Caenorhabditis elegans: one gene and its partners. The protein of the gene in region 3 interacts with the protein of the main gene of each other region in a pairwise test. Each region holds a gene or a part of one and is shown on either strand. Other genes may lie near its edges. The genes, in order: ZK688.9, txt-18, txt-1 and Y74C10AL.2.

Region 1 (4,147 bases), on a different chromosome or scaffold from region 3:
ACAGGTGTGATGGAAGAGTGTTGCATCAAGGGCGGGGAGCAAATGTCATTTCGATGGATGAAGTGAGCTCCAGACAAAAGACAACAAAAGAAATGTGTAGATGAGTGTGTGTATGTGTATTTGAAATCTGAGTGGGTTTCGGTTTTTTGCACATTTTACATGAGAAACCAGAGGAAAACATATGCTCTCGCGAAATTTTGCGATTTTACCGTTAAAAATACTGTACCCGGTTTCGACACGACAAATTTTTGTTGAATTCAAAAAGGTGTGCGTCTTTAGACACTTTTAGTGATATTCCGAGTTTTTCAAATTTATGTATTTCTAATGTTGTACATGTGTTGTATATATACATCAGTGTTAACAAATCGTTAGATAAACTATACAGTACTCTTTAAAGGCGCTCCCTTTTTGCATTTCACAAAAATTTGTCGTGTTGAGACCGGGCACCGTATTGTTTAACAAAAATTGCAAATTTGCGCCTGCTTCTAGCTTCTCATAGTTTTTAATTTTTCTCATCGGAGATAGTTTTATGAATTCTAAAACTCCGAAATTTTGACAAACGAACGTAATTTTTATTTCCGAATCGTTAAGCCAGTATCACGAAAATTGAAATAAAACAGGAACAATCGAAATGTTAGTGGAAAAAAGGAGAGATCTATTTGAAAATATTAATGAGACAATTCAAAAAAGGCGTTCACGATCAACTGATACACGATCAAAGTGCTCTTCAACAACTGGAAGATGCATCCATGCTCTGTCTACATCTAATAATTCCTCCGGATCAACGTGACCAAGATTCCCGTACTTTGCTTCTCGAAGTTGCCACTCACGAATGACATGTCCATCGAATTCGTTGCCAACAATTCTGGTGTCACATACTCTGTTAATTGTGTAAATTATTATTCTGTGGTATTTTGAAGCAAATTCTCCTATAGCAGATAAATTTTCTCAAAAAGGCCAACCTGAGAAGAACATTGTCAACTCTCATGTAGAAGCGAAGAAGGACAAAAAAGTATCCGCGCATGACACGAACTCGCGCCAAAAGCTGAAAAATGAATATATTTATACCAGCCGTGGACCGCACCTCCGGCGCGGCGCCCGACTTCTGGAGCTGAAAACCAATTTTTCTGAGACTACCGTAATCATACAGTACTCCTACCGTACCACCATTGTACCACTACAGTACGCCGACTATATCCCTACACTAACCCCAACTCACTATCCCTCCAGAAGCTAAAACTTCGCAGACTACAAAGACTACATAGACTACAAACTATGGACAAACGGAATAAGCGCTTTATATATAGTAAATGATAACCCAGATGCGAAATATTGCGATTTTCGCATTAAAAATACGGTAACCGGTCTTGAAGCGATTCTAGGTTTACTGTAGTTGCCAACTCCTCATTGTCGAGTGATTTTATGAGTTATATTCCTCTTTTTATTTTTTGAAAAATGTGAAAATATAAATACATCAAGTTTTGAAGAAACAGAAAACAATAGGAAAACAACAATAAAATGTTGATAACTACAGTACTCCTTATAGAGAATCGATCGCTTGGAGACCGGCTACCCTACTTTTCGATCGAAAATCGGGACATTTTGCATCTGAATAATATTACAAACCTGAGCGATTCCATGATCTGCCAATTCGTCCTCAAACAATGTGATACTCGATGAAAACAAAATCTCGTCGCGTCTTTTCAGTCGTTCCATATCGATTCGTTCAGTTGTAGGAGTGACCTGGAGAAATTTTCAAATTTTTATTCTGAAATTTTACTTTTCATTTTTTTTCTCCAAATACTTGACACAACTGATTTTTTTAATTTTAACTTGGGGTAATATTAAATATCATATATTTGAAGTAAAAACTAACCTGACACCCAGTCACAGTTCCTTTGTAATGTGTAGTATAGGTCCAGTCAAACGGCTTCTGATGTTCCGATATTTGCTGAATCCGATCTTGTCTTGCAGATTGCCATACTGTCGACGCACCAACTTTTACATCGGGCAGACGATCCGCACAAACCATTTTGAGGGCATCCAGCGCGTTGAATTCGATAGAACCGAGTCGACCGAACTGGATTGTCAGAGAATTTCGTGCGAATACCATTTCCGGGCGCTCTTCAAGTTTCAACTCCCGGTCATATTTGCATTTCTGTTGAATGAACACATTTAGGCAAGAGCATTTTTATTTTGTTGTTAATTAGCAGAAAAGTTGTTTTAGAATTGCGAATAAACTATTCAATCAGAAATTTTCCCCTACCAAACAACTCGGATCCTCTTGATCTTCTGAATGCTTGCAGGAGCTCTCCAAAATGTGTCCAGCCAGTGAAATGAATTTAAAAAATCCCAGATCGAACTTTTCCTCTCGTTTTGCGTTTTTTGCAGCTCGCACCATCACCTCGTCAATGCTTCTCCGATCTGACATTTCTGAAGTGACCTGAAAAAAACTGTTTTTACTGTGAAAATAAAAGTTTATTGCAACAGATTCGGAATGAGCATAATTTTTTCATATCTAAACGTTTTTTACTAAACACTAGAAAATTTAGAATTTTAAAATTCGCGGAAAAATTACGTTTTGCCCAAAAATAAACTCATTTTTTTACTGAATTTGAAGGAAAATCTATTGCAACTTATTTCTGCTTAAATCATTTTTATTCTAGAAAACGAGGAAAAAGTTTCGAAATATTTTGAACAAGAAGCCCAATTTATAGATAAAATTTAGACGTATTTTTCTTTTCTCTGCTCTTATGATCGATTTTCGCAGAGGTTTTTGATTATCCGGTAAATATTACTAGTTATTCTAATTTTTCATTAAAAAATTACATCGAAAATAACGAAAAAACATCGAAAAACGCGAAAGATCAACGAAACCAATTCATGAATTAATTCGAATTTATAATTCAGTACAAAAGCGATTCGGTCGCGGGACTAGATTTTGCAACTTCCTAGGCCATTTCCAATTTGCAGTGCTAATTGGAAAATGCGTCTACAAAAATATCTACAAAAATTGAAAACATGAAACTGAAGAATTTATTTTAAAATTGTTTAGTGTATCACAACTGTAAGAACAGTCTACATTCGGCAAGATCATATGAAAATGGCATTAAGCTAGCTGAACAGAAGGGGAAACAAGTCGATTAATCGATCGATTGTGAAAATTAAAATTAAAGCTTGAATGAATATCACAAAGGAATTTTTTCGAACCATTTCTACCCTTATTGTCTGAAATACGAAGTGATGAAAGGAACAACAAAGATTGCGATAAACATGAAAAGAAATCGATAAAATACATAAGAAGCTGTTATTCCTGCCTCGTTCTTAACTTTTGGTGCTGCTTTTGGAGATTTCCGAACCGGTTCCGATTGGCGTTCTAACGTTCTATTACGAACTGACATGGCAGAAGATTCAGAAGAGCTGAAACGATGAATTTAAGTAAAATTCGAACCTCACTATTTCGCTAACCGCGGCATATTTAATGATTCTTGATCATCATCAAAACTATCTGATTTGTTCATTAAATCGGCAAGAGTTTGTGAATCCCATTGAAGATGCCCTGTTGAATTTGGTTTTTGCATAATTTTTGAAATCATGGAGAACATTTCTTCGTTTTTTGCTCCCATTTGCTCTACCTGTAATAACTAATAGGTTATGGTCGGCTTATAAGTTTTCAGACCTTTTTTTCAACATTTTTCATGGTCATTTCTTGATTTCGACTTCCTATGTTCCTTTTATAGCCACGCATTTTAACAAGATCCGATTCAATTACATCTCGGGTTTTCTGAAATAAACTTTATGAAACTTCTCAGATAAAAGTTTATTAAATAGCCATTCAAAGCGAGTTTGTATAGATTTCAACGAATATAAAACTGCTCATACCTATATTATGAATTTAAATTCGGCTCAACTTTATACAAATTCGATGTGGATCTACTTAAATTTGAGATTTATAAATTTGCCTAGAATGAGAAATTGAGTAGAATTTGTATTCTTAAAAAAATTGGCATTTCTGCTCAAACTGAGTTGAAACCTATACAAATTTGATTTTCATTTGGCTATATTATAAACGGTTTATCTGGGTTATTGGTCCCCGACAATTTCACTCTCTCTGCAGAAAATAATAGTTTCTGGTCAGCTTTTAGTT
Region 2 (3,615 bases), 6.2 Mb from region 3:
CCTTTTTGAATTCATCACGTGTATGTTCTGCCATCTCTTCTTCTTCTTATTTTTTTCAATTTGATCGCAAAATTCGATCGAAAACGTGACCTTTACCTTTTGAACGGTGTATTCGTTATCTCATCGGTTTCCCCATCATTACTTGACTGTGATGGGGAACACGGCGAATTCGAATTCGAAACAACCAGCAACGAGTGCCGCGCAGATGTCGGTCGACCCAAAAGGTAGTGAAACACTGAAAAATTTGGCAAGTTTCTCAGCAGGTGACCTGATAAACACGAAAGTTGTTTCGTTGCGATCGGGTATTATACGTTTACTTTTTGATTAGTTGTACATGGTTGGTTGGTTAACATGGTTGGTTAACCAACCACCACGTCATCTTATTTTTTAGATATCAATTCCATAGTGTACGATGAAAGTCAGTCGAAAGTATAAGCCCAGTTTAGCATTCAAGTAAATTTTTCAATAACTAAGATACCGTTTTTATATGCTCACTAATGTTTCTTATATAGATCACACAATCAGAAGATATTCGGAGCATTTCGTAGTAACCTGTTCATTCCATGAAAAAAGTATTTGCGATCAAAAATTCAGTGGTTTCATATAGGAGAGACCATGATCATGAATAAACAAACAAGAGTGTCTCGCTTTCTAGTCATAGACTATCACTTCCAATCTATACTCTTTTTTATCATTCCTTTCAATTTATTTACTTTCTTCTTTCAACCTAGACTTTTCTTCTTCGATAAACTGGAATAATCGAACTTTGTGAAGCATCAACTTGTCGTTTGGCACATCTTCTAAAAAGTTTGTTACATAGGCTATGATGTCTGCGTGTTTTTCAGAAGTTGGTAGATTTGCTGTTGAGTTAGGTGTTTTTGCAGAGCAGGTTGAAGGAGCCGAAGAATTCAATTGTATACTTGTACAACTTGTAGATTGCTGACATGTAACCGTATCTATAACTTTTTGAAGCCAGTCATCTGAAAAATTACTTGTAATTTACATACACTTTAAATCACAGTTCAGACCATTCAACTTGTCTTCTGATAGCTCATGCTCAATCTTTGGCTTTTTTGCTTTTACTTGTTGATCATCGGCTTCTGCATTGCAAGTCGTTAATGTCAATTTTGACAAGCTGGAAAAAGGTTTCCGTTTCGGAAATCTAGATCATTTCATACCTGTCTGTTTTTTCCAAATAAGGAATAAGGAATTGTAGACAATCGTAGAACGGAACTATAGACTTGGACTTCTCATCATTCTTATCACCACCATTTCTAATCATTTTTTCAAAATCATTGAATAGGTATAACCATAACTTTTCGGCGTTTCTACCTGTAAGTTGATGTGGTGTTCATAAACATGTTTATTCCTGTTCACATGTTTACAGTCCAAATCAAAAACAGTCTTTCTCTTTTCGTAAATCACATTTTCAAAACTAAAAACTAACCTTTCCTCATTGCAAGAAAATGTCCACATTTTTTCTCTATAATATAAAACGCTTTCTGTCGAAAATCACTATTCTTCTTGCACGGACTGTATAATTCTTCTCTTCCAGAAAACAATGATATGAAAAAGTCGATGTCAGATCTTCTATACGCGTCATAATGTGAGAAAGGAGGGATCTTTGATGGTCGACCCATTTTTCGTTTCTGCTCCGCTGAGCCAAACTCTAGTAAATCCTAAATTTTTTTGATTTGGAAAACCACGTGAAAAACGTAGATCCTAGCTTTTCAGACTTACTATGAACTTCTCCATATTTTCAAAGCGGTAGAGACCAAATATTAGAAATAAAAGTGGAGAAACTTATGAAAATCGGGATCGCCAGATGTTATTAGAAAGTGAAGAAATGCTAAGAAAATATATGAAAGTGCGCAAAATTTGAGACGCAGATTTTAGAGCGTCGAGAAAAAGACTCGTTTCGAGCGACCCAGTTCAAAATCTCCAATTATTGTAAACTATTTCCTCCCTTCTCCAACATCTCTCTCAGTTTTGTCAGAGTGTTGTGTGTTGACAACACCAACAACTCCCCCCGTTTTTCGTTTTGATTCTTTCTTTTCATCACGAATTCAATTTACTGTAGATTGTCATACAATTCATTCCAATAATGAAATGGAAAACTAGTTCAAAATATTCAAAACCAACATCACTAAAAGTGAAAGATATTTGTTGATCTTAAAACAACACATGTTCCTCATACATTTCATCATAGAGATATTGACTCATCCTCCGCATCATCCTCATTTTCCTTAGTTTTTGTTCCGAAAGTTTCATATAAAAACCCTAGGACTAAACTCTCCTTGTCCCATTCTATCAATTTCTCAACTCTTATATTGATTCTCCAATATATATATTTTCAGGAAAGAACATGTCTCTTTTGGCTGGAGTGAAACTTGAAAAACGCGACAAAACGTTGGTCGACGCAACTGAAGCTCTAGCTGGAAAGGCCGTCGGATTCTACTTCTCGGCTCATTGGTGCCCACCGTGCCGCGGCTTCACACCAATTCTCAAGGATTTCTATGAGGAGGTTGAAGATGAGTTCGAGGTCGTCTTCGTCTCTTTCGATCGTAGCGAGAGTGATCTGAAAATGTATATGAGCGAGCACGGTGATTGGTACCATATCCCATATGGAAATGATGCCATCAAGTAAGTTATAACTCTATAAAATCCTCTTTAACTAGTTTTTTCCAGGGAACTTTCCACCAAGTACGGAGTTTCCGGAATCCCAGCTCTCATCATCGTCAAGCCAGACGGTACTGAAGTAACAAAGGATGGACGTAACGATGTGCAAAATGGAAAGGATCCAAAGGCCACCGTCGCCAAGTGGAAGGCTTAAGCCGAATCTGCCGACATAATTCTCTGCAATGCATCTTTCTCGATTTGTTCAACCATTTTGAAGCCATTCCCATCTAAACATCCATTTGCAATACCCATCTCTCCTATGATCCTAAAATATTTCTCTTTTGTATGGAAATTGGCAGTAAACAATAATAAATATATTTATTGATTCCATGCGATTCTTCATTTGTTTTTCAGTATATCAATTACGAATTGTTCTCTTCAAAAGTCAGTGTAAACAAAGGGAATGATGTGTGAACGTTTAATTGGTCAGTTGGAAAGATTTTAACTTGTCCATCATAGCTGACGTACAAGAAAACAATTGTTCTTTCTACGAAGGTTTTAAGATATTTAACAGCTCAAAAAATAATTATGACTACTAGAGATCTATAGATACTTGAACATAGTAAGCAAACACTCTTTGAAACCACAACATAATTCTGAAAATACCCTTTTTCAGACCACAAGAGTACATCACACCTTATCCGGTCTTTGTTGCCTTGACAACATCTTCAATCTCTTCTTTTTATTCACTATTTCCCTTTTGGATTTTGCTGCTCCATTCTTCTCCATTTGCGTCACAACACCACCTGCCTCTCGTTTCCGCCCATCTGACAATGTTTCTATTTCTCTTTCATTCACATTCCAAAGCTTCTAACGATTTTTTTCGTCTTTTCAGCTTATTACTTTTCCAAAAAAAATTAATAAAATGACGATAGCAGCTGCACACATTCAATCACCTTGTCTTCTTCGGTGCGCGGTGACTCGAAGAGTAGTCAG
Region 3 (3,509 bases):
AAAATAAAGAAAAAGAAGATGGTTCAGTTTCCCATCCATCTGCGTCTCTTACGCCCGCTTTAACTTTTTCATCTCTCTATTGCTCTCAGAGCTCCATTAATTGCCGCCTGAGGCTTCAGCCAGGCAAGGCAGAAAAGCCGAGCGCTTTCTCCATATTTAGCTGCATTAATGGATTGGGTGATATTATAAAACACATGAAATTGAAGTGTGTGAAGTTGCTAAAAATATTTTTTTAAAGAATGAGAACTACAAAAATAAGAGCAGAGAAATTTGATTAAATCTCATCAATGCATTTTGTTGTTGGCTGCAGCTTAAGATTTGAATGTTATGGCGCCATTCTTGATTAAATTAAACTAACCACTAAACCAATACACATTTTTTAGGCAACAGAAACAATATGTCGTGGAATTTGGAATTCTAGATGAGAAACGGAAACAGAAAAAGAAAAGCCAGAGAAGTGAAAGTGGGGGGAAGGGGAAAACTTATTTATTTTTGTGACTGGGGATTATTATTTGTTACAAAACATTTATTGCTGGAATGGGGCCAAAGTTCAATTTTAATTCTGTACTTATACTTTTTATTCATTATACAAGTTCAATTGATCTTTGGCTGTGCAGTAGTGCTCGGTTGTTGCGAGAGTTGAATTTCTTGCTGAAAAATAATTTTAAAAAATCAATCATGTTAAATCAGGGGTGGACGGCAAACAATTTTGCCGAAATTGAGATTTTCGGCAAATTGACAAATTGCCAGAATTGAAAATTTCCGGCAAATTTGCCGGAAAAACAGCAATTTTTTTGGAAATTTCAAAATTTCAATTTCAATCGGAATCGGCTACGCTCGGCTACGTTTTACACATCCTAAGAATGTTCCTACATCTATTTTGAAAAGTAAGCAAATTCTATGAGAACATAAAAGAAAAAAGAAAAAAACGTTTCAAAAAGGCACAGTTTTAAGTGTTCCTGCCGAAAATCAGTCAAGTTAAATCAGGGGTGGGCGGCAAACCGGCAAATTGCCGGAATTTAAAATTTCTGGCAAATTGGCAACCGGTCAGTTGCCGGAATTGAAAATTTCAGGCAAATCGGCAATTGTTGCCCACCCCTGTGTTAAATTCACAATCTCACTTCAATCATGGTAACAGCATCTGCAGTCTTTGGGCGCACAATGATAATATCAACTTGTCCTTTATCCTTGAGGCATTGCATCAACCGCTTCTTACAATCAATTTTGTTTAAGACGTTTTTCTTGTTAATCTCGATAATCTGATCTCCGTACTTGAGAACCCCGGCTACTAGAGATTCTGAAATGTCTACCAATTAGAAAAGAGTCTATAAAAGTATTCGCTAACCATTTTCCACTTTGCAGACCAGTATACGTTGATGAACAGATACTATTCCAAGTCCGAACTTCTTGCCCTGAGTCATCATCAGTGTCACCTTGATTCTCTCAAATCGGTGATCCATACTCCCAGAGTTTTGATCGTTTTGATCGTCTTCAGCGAGAGTCTGAAGTAGCCATGTTTATGTGAAGAGCATTAATACTCAGGGGTGCGCGGCAATCGGCAATGTCAAAATGAAAATTTTAATGAAAATTTCGGGCAACTGGCACATTACCGGAAATGGAAATTTCTAGCAGATCGGCAAAAAACCGGCAATGTGCCGACAAAAATTTTGTCGACCGGCAATTGCCACCCACCCCTGTCTACTCACCCTATCATCATCCGTGTCCTCAACTGATTTAAGTTTTGAATTGGGCGGTGCAGATCCTGTAGTGCTCATTTTTTTGAAAATAAGAGAAAGAGTTGAAGGAACCACGTTACTTGTTCTGATTTTTGAAATGATTTTATTGAAAGCTCTTTACGGAAAATGTAGACTTCAGTGACGTGGTGGCGTGATCTATTAAAAAACTGGACGTGGTTTTCTATTTATTTTTTATTAGTTTTTGCTTTTTAAACACTCAAAATTTTGATTTAATTTGTGGAGAACTTTAATAAAGAGTATGTAATTTTATAATGGAGTATGATTGGGTCCGGTAGTAAAATAAAGTTGTCTTTTGAATTAGAAAATTCACCAAACGTGACTGTGTCAAAATTTTTTGATAAAACCAATATTTCTCTAAACCTAGACCCACTGAAACTGATGAAATGACTTTACACATGGAGTACCTGAAACTCAAGTTTGAGATCAAGTACGTGATCATTTTCGTGAATAAATTTTCATTATGATTAAAAAATTGTGATTTATCGAATAAATCTACCGGTTGAACAGAAATAGGGCTATGAAAGACAATACAGTCGGCTTAAAGTTCAGAAAATTAATATCCTGGAGCAGTTCTTGGTGGAGGACAATGATCGCATCCACCACCAGCTCCTGGTTGTCCTGGTGGTCCAGGCTCTCCTGGAGATCCAGGATTTCCTGGAGCTCCATCAATTCCTGGGTCTCCTGGTGGCCCTTGTGGTCCTGGTTGGGAACTTCCTGGAGCTCCTGGCTGTCCTGGTGGGCCGATTGGGCCTGGAGGACCTGGTGGACCAGCTGGCCCTGGAGTACCTGGTACTTCGATAACTTGGCCTGGAACACCTGGAGCCCCGGGGTTACCTGAAACGTTTTTCGTTAGATTTTTTCAAATATGCTAATGTACCTGGTAATCCATCGGCTCCCGGTGGACCTTGAGGTCCAGGGGGACCTGGTGGTCCTGGAAGTGCATTTCCTCCTGGAGTTCCTGGAGCGCCTGGTTCTCCATTTGGTCCTTTAGGTCCTTGCTTTCCAGGTGGTCCCGGTGGTCCTGTTGGGCAGTCGAAACAGAAATCTGCAGCAGTCGGGGATTCGTCTCCTACTGCATCTTGTCCGGGTGTTCCAGGATTTCCTGGAGACCCATCATTTCCAGGATTCCCGTCTGTTCCTGGAGCTCCTGATGGACCAGGTGGGCCAACTCCACAAGAGCAGCATGCTCCTCCACCACCACCACCTCCAACTGGAACTTCTTCATTAAATCCGCCATCGTAGCTAGATGCGCCACGAGCAACTGCCCGACGACGATGAGCAAGACGTCCGGTGACTCCATTTGATTTTTGATATGTCGCGCGTTTGATGCGTCTACGGACGCCCGCAACAGATTCAAACTGAATAAAAGAAAATTCCTTTTGATCCGAAAAAAAACTCTTACTTTATTGTACTCGTCCCACAATCCATTTGTTCTGTGTCGACAGAAATCTACCTTTAAAAAAAAGAAATTATAATAATAACAACACGAATTCAGAATAACAAGTACATACTTCAGATTGCAATGCAGATTGAACGTGTTGCATGTAATTGTAGAGCATGGGGACTGCCATTATTGCAGTTAATGTAGCAACAGTGGATATGGCAATTCCTTAAAAGTTCAGGCATTCATTTTGTTACTATGGAGTAAACTCACCGAAAAACGCCAACTTCCGCATTGCATCAGCTTCCTGTGCTTCATACTTTGGATCATCGTGCGACGATTCAGAAGCCATAGTTCTTCTGGAATCGGGA
Region 4 (5,566 bases), on a different chromosome or scaffold from region 3:
AATTTTTAATAAAATTTTGAATTTGGTACAAAACTTCACAACTCTTCCGAATTTTGTTTTTTTTTCAAATTTTTTCGGGCAAATCCCAAAAAATTAAAGTTTCACTTTTTTTTTCGAGCAGTTTTCAACTTTTTTTTTCAAAATTTCTCATTAAAATATGCTACTCCTAATTTTCGATCGATTTTCAGGGTTACGAGACGCTTGTCGGTGAGAGAGGACTAAAATTGTCTGGAGGAGAGAAGCAGAGAGTTGCAATTGCTCGAGCAATTCTTAAAAATGCTCCATTTGTTATTTACGATGAAGCCACATCTTCACTGGATGCAATCACTGAATCAAATATTATGAAAGCGTTAAAAGGAGCCGTCGAAAAACGAACATCTCTTTTTATTGCACATCGTCTGGCGACAATTGTCGATGCTGATATTATTTATGTGCTTCAAGATGGAAAAGTCGCTGAAAAAGGATCACATTTTGATCTTTTAGCGGTGGACGGGCTCTATGCACAACTGTGGAAGTCACAGAATATTCATGGAGTTGCGGTACGGTTTTTTTGTTGAAAAACCGTTAAAAATAGTTTTAAAAAATAAAAAATTGAGCCAGAAATGTCGGAAAATTGCAAAATTTGCTGTTAAAATTGAATTTTCTAGAAAAAAAAAGTTTTGGAAGTTTTTAAAAACTAGAAAAAGTTCAAAAAGAAATACACATCTTCTCCAAAAAATTCGAAAAACTAGTCGAAATTCAGAATATAAAAGTTTTTTTTAAATTCAGAATATTGTTTAAAAATTTTTTTGAAAAATTCGAATTTTGGCAAATTTATAAAGCTGGAAATTAATTTTTTCTGAAAATTTCCAAATAAAAACCGGAATTTCGAATAAAATGTCATTGCTTTTCTGAATTTTGAGAACAAAAAAATGTCTAAAAAAATGGCTAAAATTTCGAAAAATTCAAATTTTGGCGAATTTTTGAAGCTGGAAATTCATTTTTTTTTTCAATAGACAATTTCCGAACAAATTCGACCGCCTTTCTCAATTTTGAGCCCAAAAAAAGCCCGAAAAATGGCCAAAGTCAGCAATTTAATCCAAAAATAGCCAGAATAATGGCAAAAAAGCCCGAAAACTGGCGAAAAACTCAAAAAATTTTAGCCCAAATATGCCAGAAAAATGGCAAAAAAAGTAAACATTTTAGGCCAAAAAACCCCGAAAAATTGCCAAAAAGCCAGCAAGTTAAGCCAAAAAAAGCCCGAAAAAACTCAAAATTTTATGCCAAAAAAAACCCGAAAAATGGCAAAAATCCCAATTTTTTAGCCATAAAATCCCGAAAAATGGCAAAAATCCCAATTTTACAGCCAAAAAAGTCGAAAGAAGAGGACGACGATCTGATGCTTGAACTGGATCTTGACAAGTGTTGCGGAAGTTCCAGCTGCAATCGATAAATCAATTTTCTAACATTTTTTTTTCTTTTTATTTTCTAGGATTCCATTTATTTTTTTTTATTTTTTTGATTTGTTAAGTTAAATTTTCCTTTTTTTTTGCATTTTTTTCCCCTAAAAACACTTTTTTTATAAAATTTTTTTTTCTAGGATCGGGTGTGAAAATCTGTGTTCTTTGTTCTTTGTTCTTTGTTTTTTGCTGTAATTAGATCGTTTTCTAGATAATTTCTTTTTCTCAGTTCCCCCCGTTTTCTTAGGTTCCCTCATCACTGTTGCTCATGTCTTGTCCCCAAAAAAAATACTTGTTTCAATTTTTTTTCTTCAAAATTTCTCGATTTTCCATTTTTTTTTTCTCAAAAAAAAAAAATATTTCATTTGTTTAACTCAATTTTTTTTGTTGGAAGATTTTAATCGTTTTCTACATTCGATTTTTTTATATTTTTCAAATTTTTAACCCCATTTTTCCTCCTAATTTCCAATTTCAGAGCGAGAGATGTCTGGCTGCTTTGACCAGATTCGATGCAATTGCTCGTTTGATTTGGAGGGGCGTAGGTGAGGAATTTTCGATTCAAAAAAAAAATTGAAAATCCGTCAATTTTGAAAATGTCCTCAAAATTGTGAAAAAAAATCAATTTTACAAGTTTTTTTTTTAATTTTAAAAACTCTGAAAATTGAAGAAAAAAAATTCAAAAAGGATTTTTAAATTGCAAAAATAAATATTTAACTCAATTTTTATAAAATTCATGATTTTTGAACTTGTAATTTCGAGTTTCCGCAGTAAATCAAAAAAAAAATCTAATTTCAAACATCAGAATAATTGAAAAAAAATTGGATTTTGGAATATTTTTCTCAATTTGGGATGCTAAATTCAAAAAAATAGAAAATTAATTTTTTTCACTAAAAACAGCTAATTTCAATAGAATGAAATTTTAAAAAATTAACAAAAAAATAAGAGGAAAATTCAAATTTTTCTTTTAAAAAAAATCGAAAAATCATTGGAAATTAGGTAGTAAAATAAACGAAAGTTTACCTTTTTTTCGAAAATTTATTTAAAGAATTTAATTAAAAACATTCAAACATCTGATAAATTTTAAATTTTCGAATTTTATTCCTAAAAATTACTAATTTTTTTTGGCAAAAATCGACGAAATTTGTTAGTTTTATTCTAGAAATTGATAAAAAATTCCAAATTTTTACGTTTCTTTATGGAAAAATGTCTTAAAAATTGGCAAATTATGTCTCAAATTAAAAAAAATAAAAACGAAAAAAATTAATTTTAATAAAATTTTATTTCAAAAATTGCGAATTTTCGAGCAATTAAAAAAATTAAATTTTAATCAAATTCCAAATTGTTCCAGAAACGCCGTTGCCTCTGTCGTCTCTGCTGCACTGTTCTTCATTGGCTGGTGGCTGATGATCGATACGGCGGCAGTTACCAATAAGGAAAATTGGACAAATGTCTACTTTATCATTACAGTTGCAAGCACAGTTGCAATGTTCATGGTTAATGCTATTTCGAATAGCCAAGTTCGTGGCGAGAGCCTCCATGAGGGACTTCTTGGGACAAAAGGTGCTTTGAAGCGAAAAAAAAAGAATTTGCGGAAAAATCTGAATAAAAAAAAGGGAAATTGCATTAAAAAAATCGAAAATATTTTTTTAAAAAATTTTTGTTTTGAAAGCTGAAGCCAAAAAAAATTTTTAAAAAAATCAAAAAAGCGTTCGTTTTTTTTCAAACTTTTTTGAATAATTTGACAAAAAAGCGTTGAAAAAATTTGAAAATCGAAAGTTTCAATTTAAATTTTAAAAATCACGAAAAAAAATATTTAGACGATAAGAGCTATGAATTTTTCAAAAATATCCTGTTTTTAATTGAAAAAAATTGAACATTTCTTCAAAAAAAATAAATGAGCGGAATTTTTCCCAAAAAGTTAGATTTTTGAAAAAAAAAATTTTATTAATTTTTTTGTTGTTTTTACTTCGATTTTTTAGAGAAAACAATTTCACAAGACATCAAAAGTGTGAATTTTTGTGAAAAAACTGGCTATGAATACGTTTTTCAGAAAAATCAAGAAAAAATTTCCAATGAAGTTGTAATTTTTTGAAGAAATTTTCTACAAAATGACGGTTTTTTCATTAAATTTAACATTTTCAACTTTTTTTCCCCGATTTTCACTGAAAAACACTACAAAACTTTTATTAAAAATTGAAAAAAAAAACTGAAAATTCCTTTCAGAAAACTATCTTAATTTTTTCATTAAAATTAAAAAAAAATAGTTTTTCTGAAAAATTTCGTATTTTTGATAGTTTTCCGTTTTTTTGGTTTTGAAATTTTTATTCCAGAATTTTTTATATTTTCAAAAAGTGAAATTTTTCTTGTTTTTGAAGAAATTTGTTGATTTTTCCATAAAAAATTGGATATTAAAAAAAAATTATAGCTCACTTTGATTTTTTAAATTTAAATTTAAAAAATTCAACAAAAAAAATAAAAAAGCGAATTTTGTTTAATTTTTTCCAATTTTTTGAACAAATTCCAGTAGTTTTTCATATTTTTCGAAAAAAAAGTTTCCAAAAAATCAGAATAAAAACGACGAAAATCAAACAAAAAGTATTTATTTTTTTGAAAAAAATTGATTTTTCCATTAAAACTGGATATTTTTGGAAAATTGCTTTTTTTTTTAATTTTAATTTTAAAAAATTTTCAAAAATTTTCAAAATTGTTTTTCAATTTTTCAACAAAAAGAATATTTTTTTCCCAAATTTTTGTATAAAAATCTGGGCATTTTATATATTCTCGATTTTTCGAAAAAGTTTCCAGAAAAGTTCATAAAAAATTTTTCCAGGATCTCGTCTCTGATTGATGGCTTTTTTTTTCTCTAAAAAATCGGAATAAAAACTAAAATCAAAAGAAAAATTAGAATATTTTTGAACTTTTTTTTGTTGAAAAATCCCACATTTTTTTGGATTTTTAAAATTTAAATTATGTTTTTTTTTTCAAAAAAAAAAAGTGAAAATAAATCTTTGAAAAAAAAGTTTTAATTTAAATTTTAAAAAATCGATTAAACATATTTAGACGATAAGAGCTATGAATTTTTCAAAAATGTCCTGTTTTTAATTACAAAAATCGAAAATTTCTTTTCAAAAAAAAAAAATTACAGGAAATTAGAACAGCTTTTGGAATTTTTAAAATTTAAATTAAATTTAAAAAAAAAGCGAAAAAAAATTTTTTTTTCAATAAAAATTCCACAATTTCCAGGATCCCGTCTCTGGTTGATGGCCGCCTTCGTCGTCTCGTTCGCCTCTCTCGTTGCCGCCACGTGGATTCTCTTCTCGGACTATGTTCTAATTCAAGGATCTCACAGTGTCTGGCCAGGCGTTGCCCTTTTCCTCACCAACTTCATAATTTTCGCTTCCTCATGTGTCTACAAATTTGGACGTACCGAAGAGATGTGGGGATAAGCGCGGATGCTCCTGGATTCGGATTTTATTCTCGAAAAAAAATTCAAAAATTTTCTCTTTTTTTTCATATTCCACTACTTATTCGTCATTTTCCTTGTCCATTTCCCTTATTACAGTACCCCATTTTACGTACATTTATAACTTATATTTTTTCTGTAAATACATAGTAATTCTTTGAGCCATTATCTAAAGTTTCAGCGAAAAAACTGGAAAAATCGGTTGAATTTTTCGGGGAAAACGAACAAAAAAAATTTTTTGGGCCGAAAATTGACAAATTCTTGATTTTAGATTTTTCCTTCTCAATTTAAAATCGAAAAAAATTCCAAAAAAAGCTGAAAATCGCAAATTCCTTTTTTTTCTGTTTTTGAGTCAATTTTTGTAATTTTTCGGCTAAAAATTTTGGCAAAAAATGCCAAAATTTTCTGAAAAATCCACAAAATCCCCCATAAAATTTAGATTTTTTCCAAAGAAATAGCTTTTCACCAAAAATATCTTTTGAATTAGAGTTTCAAAAAAAATCTAGAAATTTTCCAATTCTCCCTTTTCACTGAAAGGGAGAATTTCGAAAATAAATTTTTTTTTTCGCGAAAAAATTCGTAAAAATTGCGATTTTTTGTTGCAAAATTTTATTTGTCTCCAAATTTTATTCCAATTTTTGCAAGAAAAATACACCAAAATTCC

The links.
Region 1: the proteins of txt-1 (region 3) and ZK688.9 interact in a two-hybrid assay, tested with the Caenorhabditis elegans proteins (one large-scale study listed by BioGRID).
Region 2: the proteins of txt-1 (region 3) and txt-18 interact in a two-hybrid assay, tested with the Caenorhabditis elegans proteins (one large-scale study listed by BioGRID).
Region 4: the proteins of txt-1 (region 3) and Y74C10AL.2 interact in a two-hybrid assay, tested with the Caenorhabditis elegans proteins (one large-scale study listed by BioGRID).

The regions. Positions count from the first base shown.
Region 1 is NC_003281.10:7,880,559-7,884,705, forward strand, and holds ZK688.9 (TIP41-like protein), read right to left. Parts: upstream 2,443-4,147; 5' UTR 2,432-2,442; coding exon 2,267-2,431; intron 2,159-2,266; coding exon 1,877-2,158; intron 1,744-1,876; coding exon 1,627-1,743; intron 1,046-1,626; coding exon 963-1,045; intron 881-962; coding exon 682-880; 3' UTR 555-681; downstream 1-554. Other genes in the region: ZK688.11 (uncharacterized protein), read right to left, coding at 3,222-3,420, 3,469-3,635, 3,680-3,784.
Region 2 is NC_003280.10:6,342,448-6,346,062, reverse strand, and holds txt-18 (transcellular chaperone signaling (x)cross tissue), read right to left. Parts: upstream 1,992-3,615; 5' UTR 1,756-1,991; coding exon 1,741-1,755; intron 1,680-1,740; coding exon 1,448-1,679; intron 1,333-1,447; coding exon 1,179-1,332; intron 1,136-1,178; coding exon 1,029-1,135; intron 981-1,028; coding exon 706-980; 3' UTR 548-705; downstream 1-547. Other genes in the region: C32D5.8 (protein-disulfide reductase), read left to right, coding at 152-224, 2,358-2,643, 2,689-2,833.
Region 3 is NC_003280.10:104,524-108,032, reverse strand, and holds txt-1 (PDZ domain-containing protein), read right to left. Parts: upstream 1,845-3,509; 5' UTR 1,776-1,844; coding exon 1,707-1,775; intron 1,503-1,706; coding exon 1,346-1,502; intron 1,298-1,345; coding exon 1,122-1,297; intron 652-1,121; coding exon 595-651; 3' UTR 548-594; downstream 1-547. Other genes in the region: col-68 (Nematode cuticle collagen N-terminal domain-containing protein), read right to left, coding at 2,311-2,591, 2,635-3,115, 3,160-3,210, 3,269-3,366, 3,412-3,490.
Region 4 is NC_003279.8:2,468,284-2,473,849, reverse strand, and holds Y74C10AL.2 (Transmembrane protein 50A), read left to right. Parts: upstream 1-1,914; 5' UTR 1,915-1,922; coding exon 1,923-1,981; intron 1,982-2,787; coding exon 2,788-2,999; intron 3,000-4,682; coding exon 4,683-4,885; 3' UTR 4,886-5,057; downstream 5,058-5,566. Other genes in the region: abtm-1 (Iron-sulfur clusters transporter ABCB7, mitochondrial), read left to right, coding at 189-539, 1,346-1,432.